3 linked regions of the Rhinolophus ferrumequinum genome follow. The main gene of each other region encodes a partner of the protein of the gene in region 2 in a complex. Links are inferred from orthologs where the notes say so. Each region holds a gene or a part of one and is shown on either strand. Other genes may lie near its edges.

What was found. The genes of interacting proteins can lie anywhere in the genome.
Region 1: the proteins of NOTCH1 (region 2) and POGLUT1 are in contact, whole or in part, in a crystal structure (PDB 5UB5), measured with the Homo sapiens proteins. The link is inferred for Rhinolophus ferrumequinum from reciprocal best matches to the Homo sapiens genes NOTCH1 and POGLUT1. Residues at the interface, in NP_060087.3 of Homo sapiens: Asn454, Glu455, Cys456, Val457, Asn459, Pro460, Cys461, Gln462, Asn463, Asp464, Ala465, Cys467, Gly472, Glu473, Phe474, Val485, His486; in NP_689518.1 of Homo sapiens: Met103, Phe104, Pro105, Ser106, Arg107, Asp133, Gly170, Pro171, Ala172, Val173, Trp174, Pro178, Thr179, Gly180, Thr214, Asn239, Gln240, Ala241, Val274.
Region 3: the proteins of NOTCH1 (region 2) and DLL4 are in contact, whole or in part, in a crystal structure (PDB 4XLW), measured with the Rattus norvegicus proteins. The link is inferred for Rhinolophus ferrumequinum from reciprocal best matches to the Homo sapiens genes NOTCH1 and DLL4. Residues at the interface, in NP_001099191.1 of Rattus norvegicus: Glu415, Leu418, Ala420, Asn421, Pro422, Glu424, His425, Phe436, Pro447, Arg448, Glu450, Ile451, Asp452, Leu468, Asp469, Gln470, Ile471, Ile477; in XP_006234827.1 of Rattus norvegicus: His65, Thr76, Phe77, Asn109, Phe110, Thr111, Pro113, Tyr180, Ser186, Arg187, Leu188, Lys190, Arg192, His195, Phe196, Tyr199, Lys216, Tyr217, Asp219.

What each region holds. Positions count from the first base shown.
Region 1 is NC_046285.1:45,191,470-45,195,205, forward strand, and holds the start of POGLUT1 (protein O-glucosyltransferase 1), read left to right. Parts: upstream 1-959; 5' UTR 960-962; coding exon 963-1,113; intron 1,114-1,860; coding exon 1,861-1,951; intron 1,952-3,075; coding exon 3,076-3,219; intron 3,220-3,736. UniProt on the Homo sapiens protein: Dual specificity glycosyltransferase that catalyzes the transfer of glucose and xylose from UDP-glucose and UDP-xylose, respectively, to a serine residue found in the consensus sequence of C-X-S-X-P-C.
Region 2 is NC_046295.1:82,309,626-82,313,361, forward strand, and holds the start of NOTCH1 (neurogenic locus notch homolog protein 1), read left to right. Parts: upstream 1-1,315; 5' UTR 1,316-1,544; coding exon 1,545-1,605; intron 1,606-3,348; coding exon 3,349-3,430; intron 3,431-3,736. UniProt on the Homo sapiens protein: Functions as a receptor for membrane-bound ligands Jagged-1 (JAG1), Jagged-2 (JAG2) and Delta-1 (DLL1) to regulate cell-fate determination.
Region 3 is NC_046289.1:64,237,108-64,240,843, reverse strand, and holds the start of DLL4 (delta-like protein 4), read left to right. Parts: upstream 1-1,099; 5' UTR 1,100-1,547; coding exon 1,548-1,613; intron 1,614-1,720; coding exon 1,721-1,990; intron 1,991-2,510; coding exon 2,511-2,568; intron 2,569-3,384; coding exon 3,385-3,651; intron 3,652-3,736. UniProt on the Homo sapiens protein: Involved in the Notch signaling pathway as Notch ligand. Activates NOTCH1 and NOTCH4. Involved in angiogenesis; negatively regulates endothelial cell proliferation and migration and angiogenic sprouting. Essential for retinal progenitor proliferation.

The sequences.
Region 1 (3,736 bases), on a different chromosome or scaffold from region 2:
TCCACAGATGTCATTATGCACATATTATTCAATGGATAGGTGATTGTAGTTGTATGATCATTATACATACCTATATATCTATATTGTCCAGTAGAACGTTGTCCACTGATATTTTTCCATGTCTAAGTCACCCCAATTGTTGTAAATTCCTATTACAAAGAGACCTGTGCTATGCTATTTGCAAGCCCTTGAGGTCTAACAGTGCTGTACACTACAGTGTGGGGTCTAAAAAAATACTACTTTTCCTCTCACCTTCTAAGTTCTTCTAGCTGGGCTAATAATTAAATTAACAGATTAACAGGAGAAAGTCAAATGGGGAATTTCAAATTTTAATTTACACAAGCATGAAAATTCCAAAGGCAGACAACGTTGGGTATATGTTGGACATTTGGACAAAGGAGAAAAAGAGGGGAGTGGGGTCTTTGATTTTAGAAGTGAGAACGGGCGATTTACAGGTAGTTGAGGAAGAGGGGAACACACAAGGCCTGCAAATTCTTGCTAGGCAATTCGGAAACAATGGGACCCGCCGCATATCTAGCTAGGTAACAGGCTCCTGCCTGATGCCCTCCTATTTACCATACTTGATTCAAATTAGGCTAAGGCAAACATCCTAAAATCCCCTTCCTGGAGTAGGCCTTTCCATCTGAATCTCTCAGGCAGCAAGGGGGCGAATCAAAGGTTCTTTCCGAGTCTTTTTTTCTTAATAAACAGCTTAATAAAAATCTCTCAAAAGGCAAAACTTCTGGTCCCCTTCAATAGCTAACCAAATAGCTTGGCTCTAAACAAACGCGCCCTCCCGGAACACCGCCTTAACAACGGCGGAATGGGAAGCCCTCCTTCCCGGCGAGCATTCCCAGGGAAACTGCACCACAGGTTGGGACTTGGGGGCGCGGGAGGCGGAGCAGCCACCCGCCATCTCTGTGTGGGCGGCCGTCCGCCCACGTGGTGCGGCTCCCACGGCCATGTTTGTGCGGGGCGGTGCTTCCGCCAGCGCTGCAGTGGGGCACTCCGCAGGGGCTCGGCCCGCCATGGAGCAGTGGGCGCGCTCCCAGCTTGGGCTGTGGTTGCTGTTGCTACTCCTGTCCCCAGTGCCGGGCCGCCAGAAGGAGTCAGGTGGGCTGTGGGCGGGGCCGAGCCTGTCGCTGGGTCTCGGGCTCCGTCCAGAGGCGCGCTCCCGCCCCCCTCGCTCCCCCGGGCGACCCGCACCCGGTTGATGTTGTGGCCGCTGTAACGCAGAGCTGGGCAGAGGGCACGGGGGAGGGGCGCCTTGGAGCGGAGAGTGAGTGTCTGGGTGTCTGGCGCTGCGGCTTCTGCCCAGGACCCTGGAGAGTAACCTGTCCTCCGGAATCCGGAGTGATGCTGGGGAGGAGAGGGAATTCCTCAGCTCACCCATAGCGGGCATCTCCCGCGCTTGGCAACTCTGCACCTCCCTAAGACACATTGTGGGATAATTCGTGGTGGCCCTGCATGAGAGAGAGAGAGAATGTGTGTGTTCTTAGGCCATTGTCGGAAGAGATGAAGGGAAGGTGAATGTCTGTGACTTTCAATTGATTCTGTTTATTGGACTCAATTTGATTAGTACAAGGTAGAGAACCATGCCATTCACCAGTTTATCCGTAGCCTTGGAAGTGTCAGGCATTAAGAAATTTCCAGTTTCTTGACAGCCCAAGTAGAGGAGCAGACTTCACATAAGTGCTGGAGAGTTACAGAATGAATTCTTCCTGGCATTCTTTTCCACCAGTGGGATGGGAAGGGGGTGTCTAAATCTTTCGGCCTTCTGTTGGTTCTGCCTGCCTGCTTCTAGCAAATAAGAATGCTCAGGGGTATTTTGTTAACCTTCATTTACTTCACTTTTTGAAGGTTCAAAATGGAAAGTATTTATTGACCAAATTAACAGGTCTTTGGAGAATTATGAACCATGTTCAAGTCAAAACTGCAGCTGCTATTATGGGTGAGTTCTTTGATTTGTCTTTGAGAATTTAGTTCTCATCACAATGAAGTCCCCTAAGATCCCCAAGAGACCTTGGTTGCAGTTGTCAAAGAGCCAAGCATATTTTGAAAGCCGATAGGTTTCTCGAAATGGATTTCCTATTTCTGGGGGATAAAAATGCCCTGGAGTAGGAGAGGCACAGGTGGTCTCCCCGCATCGCCACCACTAACTCTGCGGGAACTAGCAAATGTACTTGTTTGTTTTCCTCGCCAGCCTGAAAGCTTCTTGAGATCCAGGTCTGTGTCTTATTCACTGTTGTATCCCTGGTGCTAGCTATCAGCAAGTACTAATAAATACTGTTGAAGGAATGAACATATTTTTAAGTGAATCTAATCATACTTTTCCTGTTGGTTATTTTTAAAGTATGCAAATCAGGACTGGAGTGGGGCATGGAAGAAAGATTACTTCAAAAACAATAATCAAAAAAAAAAAAAAAAAAAACAATAATCAGGTTCTAGTCCCACATCTACTAATCATCCCCATGGCAAGCCACTTAACTTCCCTGGGTCTCAGATTACCCATCAGCTAAATATCAGGGTCCTTTAAGCGCCTCATCATGTTATTCCATGACTCCTCAAAAAGTTCACCTGATGCTTATGAAACTTATTGAAAACTTGCTATGTACTGAACTTTAAAAGGGATACATTTTTGGTTATTGCTGTTAGGCTGCTAGAGTATGGGGTGGGTGAGGGCCAGACAGACCAGAACAAGGGAATCAGGCAGTGTCAGACTGCAAAGCGTAAATCATACCTTCTGTGGGATTCAGTGAAGGAAAGGTGAGTGGGATTGCCGTGACTGGCATCAGTAGGAAAGGTGGAATATGTATCAGGCAAGGGAGGAGCAATCCAGATAGAGGAAGGAAGAAGAGAAATTGACTTGCTTTTTCCTTTTTGTGGCTTTGTTGTTGATGATGTTTTAGATTACCCATGGTGCTTCTGGCGGAAAGGGTACTCATTCATGCTCTCTATTCTTTCCCTCAACTTCCTGTCTTCTCTAATACTAAACCTAAACCAACAGAAAGGAAGTAGGTAGAATGGTACCACTCTCTCGACCTGCTTTCCTTGATGATATCCATTCTCCCCCAGGGTCATAGAAGAGGATCTGACTCCTTTCCGAGGAGGTATCTCAAGGAAGATGATGGCGGAGGTAGTCAGACGGAAGCTAGGAACTCACTACCAGATCATTAAGAACAGATTATACCGAGAAAATGACTGCATGTTTCCCTCAAGGTAAGAATTATGACATAAATATATCTTCTGACCTTATTATACCTGGGCTTACTTGGTACTGTTCTTATAGAGAAGTCAATTAAAGGGACCCATAGGCAAATTCCTCCTCACATTTCAGAAGATTGCAAAATAACGACAAGCTCTTTATTCCTGGGAATTTTTCTTGCCTACTCCTACCTTCCTTTCTCCTATATTAAAGCCTGTCTCCTCTCTTCCTGGGGCTTGGACGTATCATTGGTTGTACTGGCTGTGGCTCTGCCCCTTCTCATCCCTCCCGGGATATACGTAGTAGCTGCAGAACACAGGCTGATGAGACCTAGCAGGAGTGAGCTGGGCGGAAAGAGGAGGAGGAGCACTGATTGAGTGTCTGTCAAGGGCTAAGTATCGTTCTAGATACCAAATAGTGGGGGGGAAGTCAAGAGGGACTTGGGCTGCGGATTACTCAGGCTACACTAGCCATGACTTAAGGTAACAAATCAGTGGGCTGAGGCCTGGGGGCGGGAGCAGGGAGGGTCCA
Region 2 (3,736 bases):
ACAACACCACCCCAGATACTACCAGTGCCCTGAAACAAGTGTGCCAAGAAGGCCGGGCTGGGGTCAGGGGTGCAATCTGCCACTACAGCCTCCCAGCTCTGCCCACCTTTCTGGCAAGAGCTGCTTCTCTGCCAGTCTCCAGGTTTTGTGCAGTCCTGTGGGTTCTCTTGCCCCAGTGCCCTTTCCCAGGCAAGGTGCCTCTCCACATTTCAGGCTCCCCTCTGGCATCCACCTAAGCCAGGAATTACGGGCTGGGTGGATGCGCCTCCAGCCTCCTGCCACCGCATTCACCACCCCGTGTTAGGGTGGGTAGGCTGTCTGTCCCCAGTGGGAGGCCATGAACTCTGGTTTCCTAGGACTATGGCAGGCATTTTGGATGCCCAGAGCTTAGTCCGCCTTGGCACAGGATGCCCAAATCTGGCATCATGGGGGGAGAAATAAATCATCCGGAAGGCGCACGTGGGAAGGGCCAGGGTTGCCGGCGCTAGCTGCGGATCTGCATGACCCAAGCTTTGCGGGGCACTTTAGGTGGGAGGCTCCAGGAGAAGGGGCAGGACAGTGACCAAGGAGCGTCCCGAGGCGGGTTCCTCCTGGGGGAGCGGGTGTGCAATCCATCGGGCCAGGCGTTGGCCCCAGGCTGTTCCCCTGGGGCTCTGAGAGCCCCCTTTTCAGAGGCTGCGGCCGTGGTGTCACCATCCCTCTGGGTCAAGTGACCCGGCAGTTTAAAGCCAGGGGTGTCTGGCTACGGTCTCCGGGGGGATTAAACCTGCGACCAAAGGGGCTTCTGGGGGTGGAGCCCCTGGATTAGGGGCCCACCCACCGACTTCTGCCAGGGTGCCGTCCCGAGCCTGGGGTCTTCCCGACTGGACTTCGGCAGCTCCTCCCCACCCCCTGGCTCTCAGCTCCCCGCAGGGACCTGCCGCTCGGAGGCTCCCTTTTCCCCACCCTGCCCTCGCCTCTGCTATTGAGATGCAAATACTTTCCAATTGTCGCCGAGCCGGCGGCAGCCAGAGGTAGATCCTTCCGCAGTCTCTGACCAAACTTTTAGCCTCTAAAAACTTTCGAACGAGAAGTAGTCCCTAGAGTCGGCCCCCGAACCCCCGCACCGCCGTAGGCCCCAACTCTGGAGGACCCGGACTCCGGACGCGCGCCCCAGCTTGAGGAAGCACAGGGCTGGTGGGGGCGCGCGGAGGGGCGCGGCCAGTGAGGGGGCGAGGGGTGCGGAGGGATCGGCGGGGGCGGGGCCAGAGGCGGGGCCGGGGAGTGGGGGCGGAGCGTAGGCCGCCCTGCGCCTCACTAGTGCCTCGGCCACGGGAGGGAGCGCAGGGGCGCGGGGTGCGGGCGCTGCTCAGCCCAGGTGCGAGCCGGGGCGTGGAGCCGGGCCGAGTGGCCAAAAGAGTACAGCGCCGCCCGCCATCCAGGAAGGAGAGGACAGTAGCGGGCTGCCGCTCGTGGGATTTCCCGGCGCGCGCGGGTTTGTGTGAGCCCCGCCGGCCCGGCGCAGGAGGCCGCCACCGGGCGCAGCGGGCAGCCGGCGGGCAGGCATGCCGCCTCTCCTGGCGCCCCTGCTCTGCCTGGCGCTGCTGCCCGCGCTCGGCGCACGAGGTAGGCGCCCGCCCACTGCGAGTCCGCAACTTTCCGCGCCCTTCGGAAACTTTGGCAGCGCGCTACTCGCGCGCCCGGAGGGGCTGGGAGCGGGCGGCCAGGGTGGGGAGGGAGGGGGACCGGGCGTCCCGGGGCGGGGTGGGTCGGGAGGGGAACAACCGGAGTCCAGGGCTGGGGGAGGACTGACCCTCTCCCGCACCGTCCACCCAATCGGGGTGAGCTCGTGCCGCCCGCTCCTGGAGCGGGGTTTGAAGCCGGCGTGGGACGCTGAGCACCCCCGGAGGCCCAGCCCGGGGCTCGCCCTTCATTAGCTGTGCGTGGGGCTCGCCGCCGGGGCAGGCGAACTGCCTACTACTTTTCGATTTGAATCGAATTGGTTTTGGTTTCCTGTTGCTTTGGGGGCTATTTATCTTTTTTCTTCATTTCTGGCCCACGCCAGGGGCGGATGTTGGGGCGCGGAGTGTGGGGTCCGGGGCGCCGCGTTCGCCTTCCCGGAGCGGCGCGGCCCCGCCGGCAGCGGGGCGTGGTGGGCAGCGGGGCGCGAGGCGGGCCCGGCCTACCTACCCCGCTGGAGAGTTCGGGCAGGGCCGGGGTAAGGGGCGCAGACCCAGGATCCAAGGGTCCCGGGCTCCTGGGCGTCCCGCCCGCCATGTCTCCTCCCCACACCGGTGGGCTGTCCCCTGTCCAGGCTCACAATTTGGGGGGTGGCGGGAGCGCAGAAGACTCAGCTGCGACTGTTGGGACTTTCCCTTCGCGGAGTTCAAGTTTGGAAATCTTGCCGGATGAAGAGTGGGACGTGGGGAGGGGGCTCTTAGTCCTCTTTTCACGTGGAGGGGGTCTCCGAGGAATCTAGTGGTGATTAATTCAATTCCTCCAGAAGTTGGAGGGGAGAATTAGCTCCCCACTTCCAGAAGATAGAGTTCCATGTCTTGCCCCCCTCCCTGCCTCCTTGAGGGGCTTAATTTACACAGTCCTGGTAAGATGGTGGGGGCTTGATTAATTGATCTCTGCTCGGGAATGGGGTCAAATTCCTTCTTAATGGGGCATCTTCATCCTCCTTCCCTGGTGTATGGGGGGGCCAGCCCCGAAGATGCCCGAGGGAGCAGGTATTGGGTGTCTGCGGAGGCGGGGCCACGTCCCCAGGGTGCAGTCCCTGTGCCCCATGAGGCCGCCCTGGCACCACAATGGGCTGCTCTGATTCCTCGGCCGGCCGGCGCTTTGTTGGCGGGTGGGGCGGCTGGCCTTGCAGCTGTCGCATTTTCCCACGAATGGGGAGCCAGAGTGGGGCCACCCCCCAGCGCCGCCCCCTCGCAGAACATGTTTGAACAGCAAGACAATCCTGGTGGCTGGATAGGGGCCCCAGCCCAGCTCGGCTCCCCAGAAGATGGGGTGGGGGTGCAATGTTTGGGAGAGGGCCCAGGGCCATCTCAGGTTTTCTCCACTGCTGTCCAGGTAGCATTTCAGGCCATCACTCCCCACTTTGAGCGGGACCTGTGCACCTGCCACCCAGCCAACCTGTTCTTCCCCCTCTTCCCCATTTCTGACTACAGATCTCTGGGTAGAATGTTGAAGCCCCTTGGGGTTCATTGAGGGAAGGTCTTCCTGAGAGCCCTTGCCCCCAGAAACCCCATTATTCACAGAGCCTCCGAGGGGAGGGGAGGGCCATGTCCCTGGGGGTGGGCCTCGCCCTCGGCCAGGGCTCTGGTGCCTCCGCGGCTGACCTCTCTTCTTGCCCCTCCCCAGGCCTGCGGTGTTCCCAGCCCAGCGAGACCTGCTTGAATGGCGGGAAGTGTGAAGTGTTCCCCAACGGCACCGAGGCCTGTGTGTGAGTACGCGCCCCTGCGGGACCTGTTGCTTTTGTCGGGAGCTGAGCCCCTGCCTTCTGCAGCGGGGCCAGCAGGGACAGAACACTAGACCATTGTCCTTTGGAGATGGCCCAGGAGGCTGGGCGCTGTCACGTGCTACTTTTATTGGACAAAGTCAGGCAATTACTTAATCACCAGCAATTATGCTTCGTGTGGAGCTGGTCTGGCCTCTGGAAGTTCGAGCACTCCTTTGTGGGCCGCCTTGGGCTCTTGAGGTGCTAAGTGGGAATCCCCGTACCCTGTTTCTTCCTAAAGTCCCTGAGTGA
Region 3 (3,736 bases), on a different chromosome or scaffold from region 2:
CCGGCCCTCCCCGGTCTAAGGCCTCCGGGGATTACGCCAGGTTCCGGGAAAGCAGCTGCACTGCCACAGCTCTGAGAAGTGGGCCACCGGAGGAGCCGCGCAGGCGAGACGGGTGAAACCTCAAGAAACTCAAATGAGTCCGTGCGCATCCAGTTCTACTCTACATCTCGCTCTATGAGGAGAGGACCCGGGTGTGTCCGGTCTCAGCCCTTCACCTTGACTCTCCAGTGGCTTGAGCCAACTCTGGAGCCTGGAGAGTTCCTCCCTGCCTCAACGAAGCGACAGGACGCGGGAGGGGACTTGAGGCTGCTGGTTTGGGGATAGATGGTGGGCTCTGGAGCAGAAGCTGAACCCAGGTGAGGGGAAGCGCTGGAGGTGACCCTCATTACCATACAGCTGATGCTCCCCTCCTCTCCTACCTCGGGGACCAGCCCTCTTTCCCCATCTCCGCGACCACGCGTCTGGGGGCTGGCACGCGCGGAGCGCTGGCGGGGTGCAGAAGGGACCAGGCACGCGCTGGACACGCCCCCTGCAACGAGGGAGGGAGACACCCACCAGGTGGAGGGAGGGAGCCCCTCAGTCTTAGACGCTTGGCCCCTCTCCTTGCCCCCAGTGGCTACAGAGAGATTAATGCGTCCGCTGGCTTCCCTGCGGCGCCGGAGACGCGTGGTGGGTGGGCGTTCACAGGTTGAGGGCCGACCAGGCTAGGGTTCGCGAAGCTCTGTGAGGAAGATTCCGAGTCCTTTGGCGCTGGTTTCGCTTTCCGGACATAAGTTCTTTTTACCTGTTCGAGGGCTGCAGGTAACAAGCGCTGGCTGCGGACGCACCGCCCACGGGGACTCCCCAGTGTCTCCACCCCCACGACCATCCCGGAACCACTCGTTCACCTCCCGCCCCATCCCCCCCGCCCCGCCCCTCCTATTCTCCTGCTGCCCTGGTCTCCGCGCGAAACCCCACGATTGCGGAGAACTGGTCATCTCGGCACGCGCAGAGCTGGGGGACCCAGGGGCTGAAAGCAGCACTGAGGGGCGGGGACCTGTGCCTGACTGGTTGGCGGGGAGGGGGGGGTGGCGGGGGCGGAGGCCCCCTCCCGGCGACGCTAGGGCTGTAGCAGCTAGAGGCCGGGAGGGGAGGGGAGAGTGACCATGAGTCTGAGTGACAGGCAGCGAGGACAGGAGCCAATATATATAAGGAAGGCTCCCGAGCGCGCAGGTTTCAGTAGCGGCGCTGAGCGCAGGCTGGGAACACGAGGCCAAGAGCCGCAGCTCAAGCCGCCTCCAGTGCTCTGTACCCAGGCACTAGCCGGCTTACAGTCCCAGGAGTAGCCCGAGGACACGTCCTAAGCGCGGCCGCCGCCCAGCCGCCCTCACCTGGATTACCTACCACGGCAATTTGAGTGGAGCTAGCGAGAAGGCGAGGCGGGAGGAAAGCCACGAGCGGCGCCTGGCTTTTCAGAGACTCCTCCGGCGGGTGGACACACGGCGAAGCGGCGTCCCGAACTGAGCCAGCTTCAGGGCGGGCCGGTGGAGAGAGCGACGCTCCAGGGAATGGCAGCCGCGTCCCGTAGCGCCTCTGTTTGGGCGCTACTGTTGCTGGTGGCACTTTGGCAGCAGGTAATGTCCCGCGCCCCCTCCGCCCCTCCCGCCGCTCTCTGGGCCTGAACCCCGCGTTCGCCGAGCTGACGGCTCCCCTCCCTTCTTCCCTCGTCCCTGTGCAATAGCGCGCGGCGGGCTCCGGAGTCTTCCAGCTGCATCTGCAGGAGTTTGCCAACGAGCGCGGTGTACTGGCCAGCGGGCGGCCGTGCGAATCCGGCTGCCGGACCTTCTTCCGCGTCTGCCTTAAGCACTTCCAGGCGGTCGTCTCACCCGGGCCCTGCACCTTCGGCAGCGTCTCCACACCTGTGTTGGGCACCAACTCCTTCGCGGTCGGGGACGACAGTAGCGGCGGGGGACGCAACCCTCTCCAATTGCCTTTCAATTTCACCTGGCCGGTGAGCACAGCCTGGGCGCACTGGGAGGTCACGAAAGCCGAGAGAAGGCGGCTCCCTGGGACCAAAGCCTTCTCCCCAGACTTCCTCGCTCCAAAACAAAACAGCAAAACAAAACAAAACAAAAAAGGATCTCTTCCGATCCTTTCTTTCCGACTCTCTCATGAGAGGGACCTCATCCTCGGAAAGGCTCTCACCAGTCTCCCTCTTCCCAGTTCTACGCCCTTTCTTCTCCCAGCTCTTGGGATACTGTTTTCATCACCTACCACCCCGGCGCGTCCCCCACCTCCGAATGGCTCTCGCGTACATTCCCCCATCCCTCAACCCTCCTCCTACCCGGGGTTCTCCTCTCGCCTTCCCTGCTCGCGCGCGATGCTGCACGCAGACTCGTTGTGTTGACCCGGGCGCAGTAACTGTATCCTGCAATTAGATTAATTAAACAGGCTGCCGCAAGGCACCCCCACCTCCCCCCTGCTCATCTCTCTATCTCTGTCTTCCCCCGCCCCCTCCTTTCGCTTCCCAGGGTACCTTCTCACTCATCATCGAAGCTTGGCACGCGCCGGGAGACGACCTGCGGCCAGGTGAGTAGCTCTCTCCGCCGCCACAGGGGGGCGACACGGCTCAGCGCCGAAAGAGTTAACCCGTAATAAATAATAGGCGGGGGAAGTGCGGGGTGGGGGGTGGGGTGCAGGACGCTTAGTTGGGCCCGGAGCTGCGCCCCGCGCTGGACGCTCGGATTCCGCCCGCTGCCTGGACTCTGAGCACAATTGCGTTTCCTGCGGGTTATTTTTGGCGTGGGAACGCGGGGAGCACGGCGGTGAGAAAAGGCCGAAGCTGCCAGCGCCGCTGACGGGCCCCTTCCTGTATTTTACACCTTTCGCGAATTCCGCTCCTTTGGAAAGGGAATAATGGCTTTGGGATGTTGTTCTGACACAGAGGAAAAGGATATTTCAGCAGCACAACAATTCTCACTTTGAAAAGGAAAAAGAAAAGCATTACCCATCTCTGAGGGCAGAACCCCTGAATGGGCACCAGAGGACCCCTTGCTCCCGGGGTCTTCCCCAGCATAGAGAACTGTTCTTTTTTTCATTTTTTTATTCTGTGTTTTTGGTGTTGTTTTTTTTTTTTTTTCCATTTTGACCTCTTTTCCTCTTTCCCCTGCCTATCTGCCTCCAGAACTCTGGGATATCTTAACATCCTTCTATTGTCCCCCTTTTGAATGGTATCAGGCCATTTGCAGATGCACACACACAGGGTAGCTAAGCAATGGGACCCTTGGGTTCCTCTGGCCTGTGCTTGCTGGCAGGGGGTCATCTGAACAACTGGTTTGATCCATCAGTTGTTGGCACCCTCCGGGATTGGCTGCCTTTCCTTGACCTGGCCCTCTGCCCCTTCAGAGGCCATGCCACCGAACGCACTCATCAGCAAGATCACCATCCAGGGCTCCCTAGCTGTGGGCCAGAACTGGTTACTGGATGAGCAGACCGGCCCTCTCCCAACAAGACTGCGCTATTCTTACCGGGTCATCTGCAGTGACAACTACTATGGGGACAGCTGCTCACGCCTGTGCAAGAAGCGCAATGACCACTTCGGCCACTACGTGTGCCAGCCAGATGGCAGCCTGTCCTGCCTGCCCGGCTGGACTGGGGAGTACTGCGAACAGCGTAAGCAGCCAAACTCCCTCCTTCCGCCTGCCCTGGGATTGGTGGGGGTAATGGTGGTGGGCCCTGAGCAAAAGAAAAAAAAAAG